Linked DNA regions of Oreochromis niloticus. The protein of the gene in region 2 interacts with the protein of the main gene of each other region in a pairwise test. Links are inferred from orthologs where the notes say so. Each region holds a gene or a part of one and is shown on either strand. Other genes may lie near its edges.

The links. The genes of interacting proteins can lie anywhere in the genome.
Region 1: the proteins of chchd2 (region 2) and lhx4 interact in binary tests that used the Homo sapiens proteins (3 or more experiments, as listed by UniProt). The two-hybrid records come from large-scale screens. The link is inferred for Oreochromis niloticus from reciprocal best matches to the Homo sapiens genes CHCHD2 and LHX4.

The regions. Positions count from the first base shown.
Region 1 is NC_031986.2:44,083,953-44,092,617, reverse strand, and holds the start of lhx4 (LIM/homeobox protein Lhx4), read right to left. Parts: upstream 3,550-8,665; 5' UTR 3,326-3,549; intron 1,594-3,325; 5' UTR 536-1,593; coding exon 202-535; intron 1-201. UniProt on the Homo sapiens protein: May play a critical role in the development of respiratory control mechanisms and in the normal growth and maturation of the lung. Binds preferentially to methylated DNA.
Region 2 is NC_031979.2:20,060,204-20,068,275, reverse strand, and holds chchd2 (coiled-coil-helix-coiled-coil-helix domain-containing protein 2), read left to right. Parts: upstream 1-4,200; 5' UTR 4,201-4,321; coding exon 4,322-4,371; intron 4,372-5,322; coding exon 5,323-5,581; intron 5,582-6,389; coding exon 6,390-6,561; intron 6,562-7,040; coding exon 7,041-7,051; 3' UTR 7,052-7,388; downstream 7,389-8,072. UniProt on the Homo sapiens protein: Transcription factor. Binds to the oxygen responsive element of COX4I2 and activates its transcription under hypoxia conditions (4% oxygen), as well as normoxia conditions (20% oxygen).

The DNA.
Region 1 (8,665 bases), on a different chromosome or scaffold from region 2:
TTTTGCACCGTGAAATAAAGACTAAGCATGGCACATTAGTGGTGTACGTGACAAACTAAGACTCCCCAATCTCGCTCGGGTTGCTGGAACTAAGCCCCTCTCCCTACAGCCAAATCCCCGCAGCACCGGTTGCGCTCGCCAACCAGTTTCCAGACCGATCTTGGACAGAAGAAGAAGAACAGGAGAAAAAAAATGTCTTACGCTGCAGTGGCACTCCGAGAATCTCCGGTAAACTCTTCACAGGACTCTCTGTCGGTAGGACCGCCGCACTTTGCATCATCGTGATCCAAACCGGGAGACAAGCGCACGCACATACACCCGCAAAACGGTGGGCGCACTCCCCCGTCCTGTCTCGTGGAGAAAACAAACAATGATGCTGATGTTGTTGGGCCTTTCTGCGGTTTGGAGGCTGATCTCTGTCGCTGTCCCGTCTAGCCTCTATTCCTGTTATTTCCCTTTTCCCGGGATGGTGTCCGTGCTGTGCCGTGCCGTGTTGAGCTGTTTTGGAGTGGATCAGACAGGCTGCTTGGTCCATTCAGCGCTGCAGGGGCGGCGGGGCCTGACGTCACCGCGGCAGAGGCTGACCGGGAGCCAATAGGAGAGCAGGAAGAGGAGGCCCCCCGAAGGCGGAAAGCATCCTCAGTAGGTGTACAAGGAAGAAGGAGAAAGGAGAGGAGCAGGGGAGTCTTACATGCTATATGACAAAGTCTCTGGAGAGGCGGGGCCTCGCTCCCGTGGAGACCATAAATAGCTCACTGCAGTGGCTTCCGGAGGGTCCCCGGGCAAGCAGGGCTCCTTTAGGAGAGGAGGAGAAGGGACCCGTGTAGCCAGGAAAATTAGAGTTCAGCTACATGACATTTTACTTTAGAAATAATCCATGAAGCAATAAAAAAGAAAGCGTGTCTGCTGTCCACGCAGATTTCCCTATGGATGGTCCAGACTGCAGTGTTGTTTCTTCAGCACCCACGTCTGTGACCAAATGCAATGCAAAAATTAACTTTTATAGAATATCAGCAGGTGGGATGGCGACATCAGTCAATTTAATGGAAGTAAACGCATTTTTCTTCATTTTTATTATTTGGTGATGGGATTGATTGGCCCTATAAAGATGCATGTAGGTACCATGAAAAGCATCCATGTCTTTAAAAAGAAGATGTAATCTGAGCTTTTACTTAAACTAAGGGAGCAAAAAAAAGGGAAAAATAATAAATGAAGCCACACCACAGAAGGAATATTATTGGACACGTCTGAGTCACATTCACAGCACCGTCACCTGTAGCCCTTTTCCCCGGCAGTGGCAGCTCCCGTGCAGCTGCTCTCTCAGTGACAGGTAGGATTAGGAGTCTGGGCGCAGTCCTCCTGACACTGCTCGTTTCAAACCCCATCGTCTGAGACTGCTCTCCCGGATAAGATATTCCCTCCGGAGGGCCGCTAGTTCAGGCTAGATGAACTCAATCTTCGCTTCCAATTTACTTCAAGCGTGGAAAGAAAAGCACACAGTGGCGCTTTGCCGCCGCGGTCCGCCTCCAAACCAGCGCAGGTTGTTTCCATCAACTCCAAGTCCGTCTGAGGGTCCCAGGTGATTGTTTGCAGCTCACACACACACACACACAATGTTCAACTACAACAAAGCCAGTAATTTTTCTTTATTCCAAAAACAAACAATAAATGAATGCATTTCCTTTTAGTTTATTTACCACTTGGCTATTTTAGGTGAGGTTTTAGTTCAAGTGGTGTATCAATTCGACCCAATTATACTCTTTAATATCCAACACATATTTTAGATATTCTATGATGTGACACAATATTTTGCACTAGTAATAGATCAAATCTAGCGGACTATTTTATTTGGCTTTGCAAATATCAGAAAAAAGGAGAACAAGCTCGGGCAAAGTAAATTTAAGTTGTCATATTATGCGTATTTTTCCCCTTTTTTGCCCCCAAACTGCTTCTATCTCTGTTTATTATTTATTTATTTATTTTATTTTTTATAGCCCCCCTATGGTGTTTGGACCCACAATCCCCTTCGCCTGTATGCGTGACGTTTCCAGATATAATTTAGTAAAATGAAAACGGACATCAGGATGATTAAAAGGCAGGCTGTGATATTACAGGAATTTTATCCATCCATCCATCCATCCATCAGTAACGTGCACGTGTGGCTAGGGGATCATATGGTCTCACTTTATTTTCATTATACACTTTTCCCCTCAAGATCATTCAATTTATTCGACTATTCAATTACTCTGATTGTTGGAATCGAGGCCCTTTAGCTGTCCTAGAAAACAATGCAGATAAAATGCTCTTAAACTGTCAGCAAAGGGCAACACAATTAGAATAATTGACGGATGCAAATGCAGCGAGAGAGAAGATACGAGCGTGCACATCTGGTTTAGTGGGACAGTAAATGATGAGGTGCGTTTTTCATCTTTAAATGAGATGGCAAGGCAACGTGGCTATTAGTCGACTGAATGATGTGCAAAACAATCCACATTTGGGGGGTGATCGTTTTGCATTTTACAAATATATTTATGCTGCACACAACGGTTAAAAAATAATAGTAATTGAAGTGTGAAATTACAGAGAAGACATATTTAATTTTATTATCCAAGGGGACTAAAACGGCTTCCGCTCTGTTAAATTTGCCCGGACAGTCAAATGAAGTTTAATTCGTAAACATTTTTAACACAAATCAGTAAAGATGTTTTTGATTTTTCTATTTTTATGATACATATTTCGAAGGAGGTTATTTATCTAAATGAATATAATCTTGAGAGCAGGCAGCTCTCGGACAATAACTCAAACAGAGGGCGACTCCTTTGCCACCGCCGTTGACCCAAGCACCTCTAATTAGATCTAATATTTCAGTGGATGAGTTCATTGTCACCAAAGCGCAAATCTGCGATTCATAGATCCATCTTAGTGAGAGCAGGGAGTCAGAATACAGAAGCACACCTATCTTATGTGATCAGGCTTTCATGGAGCGTGATTCATTTGTGGGATCAAACCCTGCAGCAGGCCTGGCTCATAACGAGCCACAGCAGAAAAAGATTCATTTGAGTGTTTATTAGTTTTGCGCATTTAAATGTATTATTTGAATGTTAGTCACACAAACCAAAGCGGATGTCAGCTGAGCACATTAGCAAATTTACCTCGCAATGATGATAACACGGTTCAGAGCACAAATTCAGATAAAATTCATCGCAGAGACAAATGCGTTATGTTCCAGTGACTTGCCTTCATGCAACACTTATACTTTAGAAGTGCGTAAATGTATTCTCGACTTCCAAGACGAATTACAGCCCAGCGCATCGTGCAGACCTACCTGGCAGTCTGTCTCCTCTCCGCGCTCCCTCCTCCTCCTCGCCTTCTTCTTCTCCTCCTCCATACCGCCGAAGCTCGTTTCAGCGGGGTGAGCCAGAGCTCGCAGGGAAACTGCAGCAGTCAGTCCACACTTTCTCCGGCGTCCACCCACAAAACAACATTAGGTAGCAGTGGCACCGTGTCCCCACGCATTTGGTCCGAAAGCAGGAAAGGAACAGAGAGAGGGAGAGAGGCAGAAAGCGAGGGGGAAACCTTAGGAGAGAGCTCGGAGGAGAAAATTAAATTGCACTTGGGGGGCAAATTCTATTAGGGAATAGTTATTGTCTCCTGACAGCTCCTGTCCATTTGGGTAATTAGTAGAAGAGATTGGTTGAACAAACGAAATCTATTCCCGTCAGAAATGATATTTTCCAATTCCCTGATTGAACCTGACCCTGTCGTGCTAAGACGAGGCGGTAATAGGCTCATTTGACTCGAATAACTACAACAGTTTAAGCCAAGCCTGCCCGCAGAAGGATTGGATTTTGCTTTATTTTCACGACACACTGATGAGGTTTACGGTTTTAACTGAAATACTATTGATATGGGGTTATTTATTTATGACAAGATAAAGACACACAAACAGGAACATTCAGCAGGATCTCTCTTTAACTGAAAGCCATTTTTAGTTAAATCATCCAGTTTCAATTATAAGTCCTGTGATGCACTGGCACCCGCCCAAGGTGCTGGGATAGACTCCCGACCCTCATGAACTTCATTAGATAAGCGTGGAAAGCAAATGGATATAAGGATGAATGAAAGCTGAGACCTGAAACTTAAGCTGCTCTTGCAAACCAGAGTGCAAAAAATAATCTGGATTCAGGTGAAACCTCCAGATGCAAAAATGATGTTAATGTGTGATTAGCAGAAGTCCACAGACCTGCAAAAACACATTACAGCTCCTACAAGATTACAGTTCCTCTGCAGTTCCTCCCAGAGAAGAAAAACAGGTCCTGTTGTTTTCTCTGCATCCTTAGATTGAAAATAGGCATTCTGAATTAGTTCGCATTTTCACCGTTTATGAAGCACACACAGCTAATGCATATCATTTAAAATACCAGACTGGTTTTGACCAAAATTATTGAATTAAACTTTTTTTTTTTTAATTTCAGCAAATAAAACCCAAAACAAAATAAAATGCATAAACTCCAGTGTTGTATTTTGATATTTCTATTTGAGATAACTATCAAAATCTGATTATTTTACTGCAGATGACTGATCATAACAAATTATACTCAATAAAAATGTGTGAAGGCCCGCATCCACAACCTAAAGATTTCCACAGAAAGCCAGTGTTGCATCTTTGATGCTCGGTGAAAGGAGCAGTGTTGGCTGAGTGAGTGAAAGCGGTGTGACTGACAAGTGTTGGCTCCTCTCCAACTTCATTATCCAAGCACTTCCTGTAAGCTATATGCTAACTCTGGAGGGGAAGGGGTGGGGGGAAAACAGGAGCAGAGCCCCGTTTCCCAAAATCATCTATAAGGTAGTGTCATTGTAAAGAAGTACAATGGGACCGAGATGATCCAGACTTAACGATGTTTTTGGGAAACTGAGCCCAGATCAGCAGAAGTGAAGGTCAGGGTTGTGTTGTCATGCAAATGATGCAGTGACGTGAACTCACAAGTTTAAGTCCTGAAAGTTAAATTATGAGATTAAACAAGCATGACGCAGTGAAAGTGATTATATTGGAGGAGTTTAAAAGTAGTTACTTAAAATGATATAAAACCCATGGCTGCAGAACATTTATTAATGTGGAATGAATCACAAATTCATTCGACTAAGACAAACGCATCGACCTGGGTGTATTTCACAGTTTCATCTGGTGTAACTCTGGTGTTGTGCTGGTTATGCTGGTTGTGCTGGTTATGCTGGTTGTACTGGTTATGCTGGTTGTGCTGGTTATGCTGGTTGTGCTGGTTATGCTGGTTGTACTGGTACGGGGTCTTTGGGAGCAATTTCCAAAACAAAAACTCATAATCTGTGCTCATTCATCAGCCTTTAATTTGAGTGAACTGACAGAAGTATGTTATTGCATAAACCTTGTTACAGGCTGCATGAACACTCACTGAGATGTTTGGGGATCTGGGCAGATGAGCGTCCACATGAAAGGGGGAGGGACTGCAGCAGAGAAATGAGATGGGTCTGACCCTGCGTGACTCCTGCGTTTAAAAGGCTGCATGTTTAAAACCCGAAAGGGGATCTGGCTTAGTTAGGATGCAATGTATACCAATACCATATATTAACCTCTTTTTCATAATTTATTCACCCCAACCCAACCCACCCCACTCCACCCCACACCCGCATTCTCCCTCTATCCACAGCAGGAAGCTTTATAGTATTATTAAAGTCAGAAAGAGAGATGACAGAAAAATGCATCAAGCCCCTCCTGCATTTTAATATCAATACCGGCGGGGTAATAAACATCGAGGCAGAGAGCGTACAGGAGACGAGTGACTATAAAACTCTGCATTGTCTAATTTATGGAAGACAGCAACAGGGCAGGAAGGTGAGGTTTTTACCCTTCAGTCAGTGGTTTCATAACGCAACTTTGTCTCAGTTCAAAGCATCAGTTTTAGACAAAACACACAAAAAAGTTTAGAAGAAAGTAATCAGCTCGTATTACTCCAAGAAGATATACGGTGGCAAGGTATGCAGGCAAAGCTACGCCATGACAGTCTCACCTTAAGCTCCATTTGCTGGCTGTTTTTGCAGTTTGTATGGTTGCTTTTACAAGCATTTGTTGTCTTTGACCTTGAAAACACAAACAGATTTGTAACAAGGTCAATCGGCAACAATGCAAACTGAACAAACTGAGGTTTTCAGATGTTGGTGGACTGCAGAAAGCTTCCTGTCACACAAGTCAAAGAAAAACATGTAGATGAGTGAAAACACAACAACTGCAGATTAATCTGTACAGGGATTTATGTTTCCTTCCAGTCTGCGTGCGAAAGAAATGATTATTTCTGAGCCTTCTTTTAATGCGATTTACTCTTTTCAGCGTTAAATATGAAAGGACAGGCAACAACACATGAACAAACACTAACAGTTGGAGTAATTCACTGATGAGGCCAAACTACTATCATGTCTGTCCATCACATATGAATCCACCCGTGTACAGCTTTATATTAAACTGCAGCTACCATATGGATGGTTTTCAATAACCATAACTAACACTCACTAATTAGTTATGTCTTGTTTAATTTCCACAAAGTGATAAAATAAGACGCCGATAAGACAGGCTCATGGTGATAACCCTTATTTTGCGAGATTTGTGCCCAGCTTTAATAAAAACATACTTTTTTTTAATTAAAGCTGCTTGTTGGTTGTTAATCTGTGGCTTAGTTGACTCCATTACAGTAGCAGTGTGGACTGTGTTTACCTTTATGCATAAGCACCTACACAGGTCATGAGGGCAAAGCACTGGCCCAACACACACTCTACACACACTAACTATATTCATACTATCACATAACTGACATTTTGTGGTGTGTGTGAACTCGATTAAACGGTGTAAAGAGTGCAAACAGCTTCGAATGTGTCCTAATTTAGATTTGAAGCCTCTGTCCTCAGTGTGAACTGCTCACCTCAGCCTTGGCGAAGCTGCAGACAGATATTACACTGCTGCCAACTTCCTCATTAACCATCATTAGTCTGAACCAGCATAACACTTGCAGCTCACTGAAGCTCAAGACACCTGATAAAGGGCTTCTGTAGCGTGAGCAGCACAAAGCATGGCTGACGCCAATCCTCTAACAAACACAGGTAAACGTTTAAACAGATTAACTGATCGCATGTGCGGGAGAAAAGTGCTTAAGAAAAACAATGTTTCCAAGATTTTCATGATGTGCAAAAAGTTTAAGGATACAGAATTCCTGCTTCACTCTGATGGTCTTCCATCCCAGCCGATATTTAAAAAAAGTGTCATGATGCACTGGATAAAAGGCATAAATAAATACCTTAAGGAAGATTTCTTGTGATGAACTGCTTTTCTCGATCCAGTCTGGCAATCATAATGTGTCATTGAGGATCTAATTGAAAGTACCTGAGAGTTTGATTAAGTCACACAACCACAGCTGCTCAGCTGTGATGCTCCTCTGCTTTAATGTGGGGCTATTAATCACCCTATTGTGTGTGTGTGTGTGTGTGTGTGTGTGTGTGTGTGTGTGTGTGTGTGTGTGTGTGTGTGTGTGAGTGAGGGAGGGAGAGAGAAATTGACTGCCTCAACTCACCTATGTCATCATCAAAACTGCAAAGGCTGAACACATGGTTTGGATGACGGGATAGAGCGGGCTATAGGATAAGATCAGAGGGTTTATCCACGTATGCGTTGGTGACAGGTTGGAAGGTGGAGGTAAGGGGCAGGAGTCGAGGGAATTCAAGCTGGCGTTCCAGGAAACACAAAGCTCAAGATCAAGCTTTGGTTGTCCTTCAGCTGTGCTGGTTGTGATCTCAACATCAAACCCTCATCCTCCATCCATCCATCCATTTATCCCCCACCCCCCCCCACACACACACACACAGTACTCCTTTCATCCACCCCTCATCCCATCATGTTACCGCCCCTGAGGGTCCGCCGTTGCCCTTCCCCAGCAGAGCCCACCTCTAAGTGTGTGTGTGTGAGGATGGAAGAAGCCTCACAAAAGCCGATTGCATTTTAATAAAGTTTATTATCTGCTGGGAGCTAATCCTCAAGGGTAATCTCTCCTCTCTAGTCCTAAAGGAAAGCTGGATTACTCACTTGCTATAATCCCAATGAAATTGTTAGGATTTAGCTTGCGCTGCACAGCAGATGGCAACAGGCTTTTTCCTTCAACCTTGCATGGTTTAACCCCCATTTCTACATTTCTACATCCTTCTTGCCATGTCCTGATTGTTTTTTGTTTTGACCTAGAACAACAGGAAGTCATTTTCAAACCTGTAACAAAAACATATTTCGACATTAAAGACAACACAGACGGCATTTACGATCACATGTTTAACATGACCGGCACTTCAGAACAAGGAAACAAAAGACGAAAATCCTTATCAAAAATAATTTTATTGATTCCGACCAAAGCAAATGGAAACATCGAAGAAGAGCAGCGCTTCATCATTCATGACCCCAGCCAAGAAAACAAAAACAAAACAATCCTGATTAATCCAAATCCTCGTCCAGTGTCAACATATTCCTCACTTCACTTCAAGAACCAGAGTGGCTATTACGTGGACTCAGTGTGATGTAATATTCACAGACATTATGTCAAGCTCAAGTGTAATTTGGACCAACGCAGCTCATCTGCTTCTCTCTGGTCGAGTCACAGTT
Region 2 (8,072 bases):
CAGGATATATTTTTATGAAGAGCAAAATATTTAAAGTTAAAGTTTATTTTTTTTAAGTTTATTTAATCTGGAATAATATTCCTGTCTGTTTTTTATTCATATTTATGTTTAAAAAATATTGTTTTAGTGTGTAAATATTTATCTTGTTTGGCCCGCGACCTAAAGTGTGCCTTGAGTTTTGGCCCCCTGTGCGATTGAGTTTGACACCCCTGACTTAAAGCATTAAAAACTTTCACAGGTTGGCTGACAGTTAAACACCAGTGCATCATTTCAGACCCACCACTGAGTTGAGTGAATATTAAAGTTACAGTTTACAGCCTGCAGTGCACTCGTCAGGACATCAGCTGTTGGTGGTGAGCGGAGAATCTGGGTCTGGTTGCACAACTGCTCCCTGCTCTCTTAGCTGCTCTTACAAAGGTTAAGAAACAGGACACTCTGATCTATTTGCTGCAATTCCAGACACTCACAGTACACTGACCTTTCAAATAGACTTCTCAGAAGGCATCGGATCATTAGCAGCGCAAAATGCCAAGTGTCTAATGAAACTGTGCATCGCTGGATAGTTTTGTTCAGTCGGTAAAGACGTAATGGGCTTCTTCCATTAGGCTGGAGATCTACTTGACCCAGCAGCACTTAATCTAAATGTGCTCAATTAATGTCTAAATGCATAATACTTTAATTATGCTATAGATGTTCCCTAAAGATGGATGTTAAATTAAAGGAAAAACCTAATCTCTTGAGTGAGGGGATCTTGTGGCTCTGTTATGCTGACGGGGAACATTGGCATAGTTTGTACTGAGTTTCTCAAATCAATACAATGCTGTTCAAAGTAATGTAATATTTCTAGCGGGATGTAGACCTCTCTTCCAGGGTGAGATCTCCATCCACAGGGCATGAGAGACTGTCATCATTTTCATCTTCAAACTGAAGGAGGGTGGATGTGTGTTCATGCAGGAGTGATTGCAAGTTAGGCATTCCCTGATTCATCATCTTTTTCTTTTGTTTAAATCCTACTTGGTGCCGTAATTGATAAAATCAATGCCATGCTGCAGTAAATAGGACTTAAAACTGCTGACTGAGATGATAAATTCATTAGGAAGGCTCATAAATTTAGTGAGAACCCATTTGTCTAATGTCGTCTTGCAAACAGAGGATTTCCCATTAGGAGAAAAAAAAAAGTAGTTTTACTTCACTCTTTAGACCTATAGGCTGTGTTGAATCTTTATATACAGTAAATGTCTGTTACTGTCTGCAAGATCACTGCGTTATTAGGACAACACTGACATCGTGTGGTCTGACTGAACTGCAACAGACTACTTTTATGTCAGTCGGCTTTAGGCCATCGTCAGAGCATGTGCTGGTGACGCAGAAGATAAATATCGGACATCTCCATTCAGTCCATCCTTTATTTACAGGAGCGCAGTGCTGCGCTGGTTTCGGCACCTAATCTTGCGTCCCTCATTGGCTCCTCCCAAGTGTCTCCATCTCTGCTGCTCGCTGCCAGAGAGGATCAGTCCTTCATTGACCCGGTCAAAGCTGGAACAAGCACCTCTGTTTACAAGGTACAATCATGAATGTGTCTGTGATCCTTAATGAAGATGCCTCTGACTCCAGCTAAGTAAACATTTTCTTTTTCTTTTCTTACTTTTTTTGTTGTTGTTTTTTTTACTGTTGTCACTAGACGTTGATGGGCAGTGTGCCAGACAGAGGAGGACGACCTGGGGAAATTGAGCCTCCTATGCCAGCATGGACAGGGAGACGCTCGAAAGGCAGCAGAGGGGGATGGGGAGGCGGACAATCTCATAAGCATAAGAAGAAGAAAGGGAAAAAAGATTAACTTGTCCATCTTTTTGGCCTTACTCATCAATTTAAGAAATAAGTGATCATTTTGCTTTATTGAAATCCTTGTTGCGAGGTAAACTACGATTGGGAAGTGCTGTATATAATTTTGTAGTTATAAATCTGTGTATAATTTATAGTTATAAGTCATGCACATACCAGATTGTGTACATTTCTATAAAAGCAATGAAGTACTGGTACATGACCAGATATTTTGGTAAAAGAGCAGAAAATGGAAAAAATGTTGGCTTTCCACATTTATCAGTAGGTTTGTTTAAGAATAAACCTCTGAAACACACATCTATTGGTATTTTGTGCAATTTACATAAAGCATTTTTTAAGGATTATTGCATGAATATTTTATGCTCACTTCACATTTTGGAGACAAGAGTTCCTCTTGCCTTTTTTAGGTGATTTCATAAGATAGCAAACATGTTTATGTGGAATGAAAAAGCCTCACTTACATCTTAAAAAACTAAAAGGACCAGTCGGTGAAGGGTGACTTTGAATATCTAAGAATGTTGTTTTATTGTTACACATTAACCAAGACTCACTTCCCCCTGAGAGAACTCCTTGGTACAGCATTGAGTCATCTCTCTAGTCCCAGTGTTTCCACTTCAAAGTCTAAACTGCCTAAAGAAGGAAAAGATCATCCAAATATTAATTATCTTAAATATATTTGGAATAAACTGGTTTCAATGTTTAATTTTGATCTTGCCAAACCCAAAGTTGTGCTAAGGTAAAGCTCATTTTGACCAGAAGTTCTAGTAGTCCACAGTGATGTATTGAAATAATTTCAAGATCTTGTACACCAGTTTAATAAACAACAGTTTCAATTGTTTTATTATCTGAAACTCCACCCTCAACCATCTGAATTCTGCAGATAGTTATGGATTAGATTAAGTACCTGTGAACTTTAGGAAATGGTATTTTAACATCTGTCTTTTCTTCTCTGTTGATTCAGAGCCTGGACAAAAAGGCCTCTTGAATTTTCAAAAAAAAAAAAAAAAACATGAGAAAGTGGTTTAAGTCTGAAATTGGATGAGAAAGCGTGAGAAAGGACTTCTAGGAATACTGAAGTAACGGCTGATGCAAAGAACATCTTGATCAATTTAAGATTATGAATTGCTTTTAACAAGCTGGGACCACATCCTTATTTAAGTTTGATAACAGCAGATTGAGAAAGCACAAATTGAAGCTGCGGTTTGGGAACGGCCTCAGAGGGGACTGGCAGCAGATCCCAGGCCAGGCAGATCTAATGAGAAGTGACTGAATTGGGAAAAAAAGGAGAGAAGTGTTGGGCATGAAAATGAGTACAAACAGCTTGTGGCGCAGGAGGCATATACCAGTGCATGAGGTGTGGTCCTGCACCTGAAATTCAGATAAATTATCTCCAGTTATTGGACACCATACAAGTTTTGAGAATAGGGGTGAAAGATGCAAATATATACTTTGCTAAAGAGCTTCTGATTTCTTTCCACTGTTCTGCAGTGATGGACACAACATGTGGGGCAGAGTTGAAGTTCCGATTTTAATTGGGAGTAACCAGAATTGACAAGATTAGAGGTGATTGTTTCAGAAGGACAGCTTGTGTTCAGCAGCTGGAGACAAAGTTAGAGAGGTAAGGCTGAAAAGGTTTGGACATGTGCAGAGGAGGGATAGTGTATCTCCAAAAGTTGAATCTGTTCATCTGGACGTAGCGTCCAGATGAACAGATTCAACTTTTGGAGATTTACTTTCCTGGATGATTGAGAATGCATCAAGAAGGGATAGTGTATGTTGAAGATAGAGGTGCCAGGCAGGAGGAGACATGGAAGATTCATGGATGATATCTGATTTAGAGAAACTAAATCACATGCAAACAATAATTAACTTATTTTATGACACACATGCGTTTAAATGTGTTATTTTCTTCTTATTTAAAGTTCTGAATAAACCTTATGCAGCATTTCGTGGGTAAAAATACATACATATATATAAAAATACACACACACACACACACACACACACACACACACATACATATATATATATATATATATATATATATATATATATATATATATATATATATATACACACACACACACACAGTTTAAAGGACAAAGAAATACATATGAAGCACAATGTGAGACGACCTTGATCCTACAATATGAAAGATGTAAATAATATTATATGACAATATCAAAAACCGGAGTTCAATTTTTTAAGACAAATATTGAATAAAGCAAAACCGTTTAAGACTTTGTTGATGGCACAGAAAACAATTCTAACCTAGGTGAACAACGTAATGCGTTACACAACACTCACCTGGCGGAATCGTCCTTGTTGTGTATCCTGCACACCGGAAGTTACTCGGGAGACAAATGATGTAACACGAGGAAAGTTCCGGATTGTCTAAAGGTCGCTGAATATAAAGCGGCGTGACAGCGTCAGTGTGTTTTTATTTAAACCCGCAGGTAAACTGATCTAAGTGTTCAAAATGCCGAGAGGAAGCAGAAGCCGGACGTCGAGGATGCCCCCTCCAGCCAGGTAACACTTAGGGTTTAATTCCCCCTTTTTAAAGAAAGGTAGAGTAGATATTTTTAGTTAGCACAAATGCTAACGTTTAGGTAATGTCATAGTGCCGTATGTTAGCTAGGAAAGTGCAGGTCATGAGGTGCTTCAAGTAGCTTATAAAGATAATTTCAATTTAAACCTTAATTGCTGGTTAATCTGGGTATTGCTCAGAAAGTTACTGTGTTATGAAAATGATGAAGGTCATTGTCTTTATCGTGGTTTCCTCTGTAAAAATCCCCACATGCTAGCGAAGCCAGTAGAGTTGCATCAGCTTCTATAGTTTTTCTTCTAACCTGCAGCTAAACTGAGACTTTATTCTTCCGAGTTATAATTAAATAAGTCGCACAAGGGTTGGAAGTATTTCTTTCTCTTCTCCTTGTGGGAAGTATAATCCCTCTGTGCCCTCATTTCTCTTTCACTAAATATATCTGAAACTAAGCTGAATATATAGCTGAAACTAAGAATTGCAAGAACACTTTTGACTCTTGGTGCTTAATAATTTGTGCCAATGTCTCCACCTGTAAGGCCAAGCTGCATAGGGAAAGACTGATTATTTTCCACAGTGACATGTTGTTTAAAGTTCACTTTGGGCACAGGTGGGCTTACTTTATCCAGCTACAGGATAACACTTTTTCTTAGCAAGTGAAGAACAGATCCCAGGAGGAGACGCAAATCCCTTCGTGGTTGCATCAAGAAGAGCAGCTGAATATTATTCTCGCCTGTGAATAAGTGATCAGCTGAAAGTAGCTCTTTGTTGTCTTACTAGTGTGGAGATATTCTCCGAATCAGAGCTTCACCTTTATCTAAGCTTTCATAAACCTTTGCAGTGAGTCAGAGTAAAAGCTTGAATAACAGATGTCAGCTCATATCTGTTTTTGATTGTGTTTGGACTAAAAAGGTCTTAACAAAACGTTTTTGTTACAGCCGGGCTCCACCATCCCCACCACCTATGGCCCGGGCTGCTCCCCCTCCCTCCTACGCCCCGGCTCCGATGCAGGTGCCTCCGTCCGCTGTCGGCACGCCAGCCGCAGCGCCCAGGCAGCCGGGTATGTTTGCCCAGATGGCATCTACAGCCGCTGGGGTGGCAGTAGGCTCCGCGGTAGGCCACACAATCGGCCACGCCATGACTGGAGGTTTCAGCGGAGGACACTCGGAGCCTGCCAAGCCTGACGTCACATACCAGGTAAGCCCAGGTTTAGCCAGCCACAGGACTGGAACAGTTTCAAGGAAGATTAGGGTGTCTGAGACATGGTATGCAGGGCCTTTGCACCACGGAGCAGGTGAAAAACAAACACCACATTTTATGTAACGCATGGATGCAGTTACATGCACTGTGGTAGCTCAGTATAATAACAGCCAGATGGAAACAATACTGTGAATATTGAGACTTTTAACTAAAAGCAGTGAAGGAATCATCTTGCTTTCATTAAGACTCTTGAGTGCAATCAGTGCTGGTTGATTAGAGATGAATTACTCCCTCTGCTCAATCTGGGTTTGTTTTTTTGTTCTGGTTTTTTATGTGTACACACATGTGATCAGGGTGTTTTGAAAATACAGACACAGCTGCTGAAGGAAAACCTCAGTTATGAAAAAGTCCAAAGGCCAAATGTGGTTTATTTACATTCACACAAGTGCAGGGAAATATGCATAATGATGTTTGTCTCATTAACCCTGAACCCAGTACATCACTATTATCTTTATGCAGTTACATTCATAGTAGATTTTAAGATATGAGTGATGACCAGTCATTTACTCTGCTTTTCTTTATGACAAAAAGGACTGAGAAACCACACGCACTTGAGCAGATTGAGGATTGCAGTTTTAGATATTTCAGCATTTTTATCGATAGATGTGTAAATATATTTACTTTGTGTCATTGATGGAAGATATTCCATCTTTTTGATACAAAACTGAAACTCGTTCTGACACTTTAAAATCTGTTTTGGTCTTTAACACACATATGATTTAATCCTCTGGCTTGTGTATATTAGGAGCCATACCAGGCCCAGCCCATGTACCAGCAGGGGGCCCCTCAGCAGCAGCAACAGCAGCAGGCCTGCTCCTACGAGCTCAGGCAGTTCGTCGAGTGCGCCCAAAACCAGAGCGACCTCAAGCTCTGCGAGGGCTTCAGTGAGGTGCTCAAACAGTGCAGGTTTGCTAATGGTGAGTGAAACATGTCCAGGCTTTGTATAAAAAGAGACTGCTGTGTCTTATAGTCGTTGCTTTTAATCATTATTAGTAATTTGATTTATTTAAAGTGAGTGTAGTTACAAAATGCTAGCTAAACACTTACTACGCATGAGGGGTAGACGCATAAGCTGTTGCACATTTTCAGCATGCTCCTGTGCTCCACATAAAATTCTGTTTAAGTACTGGATCTTCCTCATGCATATCAAATAGATCGAAATCAGGCTGTTGCTTTTTCAGTCTCATTTTTCTCTTTTTAAATGGAGTTTAACCCAGCAAGCATCGAGGCTTTGAATGAGCCCTTAGTCGCTCACATATCAAAGCCAAATGACTTTGCACTATTCTAAACTCCTGTAATACCCAGTGTGGCCATAAGGGGGAGCCTTAGTCTAAGTATGTTAAGTCAGTTTAAACCATTTAAAGTATTAACTGTCCTGGTTTCTCTGTTTCTACAGGTCTATCATGAGAAAAGACGCTATCTGCAGAATGAAGATCACATCTCCTTATTAAAGATACTGGGAGGGTGTAATTCACAATCAATAAACATGTTTTAATGATCAATTGTCATCGGACAGCCTCATTTCTCAGACTGCTGCAGAGCTTGTAATCATAGTCTTATAAATAATGTTTATATATTTTGGTTTTAGGTTTTAGTTCATGTTTGAGGTTTATTTTCAGTTGTCAGTGCGTGCTTTTAATTTAAATCCCGTCTCTCATGTCAAGACTTATAGAGAGAAAAAAGGCCACTTTCACCTTCTGGCTGCTGCGGTTTGATTCAGACTAATAAAACACTTGAATTAAAACGAGACTCTGTGATTTTTTTTTTGTTCCAAGTCTCCTCCTCATATGCGCTCTGTATTATTACATTGAAGCGTTTCTGTTTTCACCTGCGTTTTCTTTAATTAGACTTCAGCAGCTACAAAGGGGTGTCCCGCACCTGTCCTGTCACTCTGCTCTCAGCGCAAAATTCACGAGCTGCAACCTGCGCGTGAAGTAATGTTTTGACTCTAAAAGCGTCGTGGCGAGAGCACGAGCCGCAGGGTATTATTTCATGGATGGGGTTTTTGTGAGGACTCATTCAGGGTGTCCTTCTGCTCCTTCTGCATCTGCCGAAGCAAATAGTTATTTTTGGCACCTGACATTAAAGCTCACCCTCTGCAGCATGGCAGCAGCAGACCCGCAAACGCGCCATAGCGCCGGAGTCTGACTGCAGCTCTTTGTTCGTCCTCAGAAACTCACTGTGCGCGATTTGATGATGGATTGTCTTCGTATCAGGGACTGACGGACACGGTGAGGGACGCCGGCCTTTTAATGCGTTTATATTGCAGGTCACTCGGGGACAGTGAGTGAGCAGTTGAACGGGTTCACACGTGGTGGCGTGGGTTGCTTTATTAGTCTGCGCTGTGTTTGGTATGACATTAAGTTTGGGACGATGGCTTCTTGTATTCACCCAAAACACTTTCTGTGAGTTTATTGGACTTTTGTTT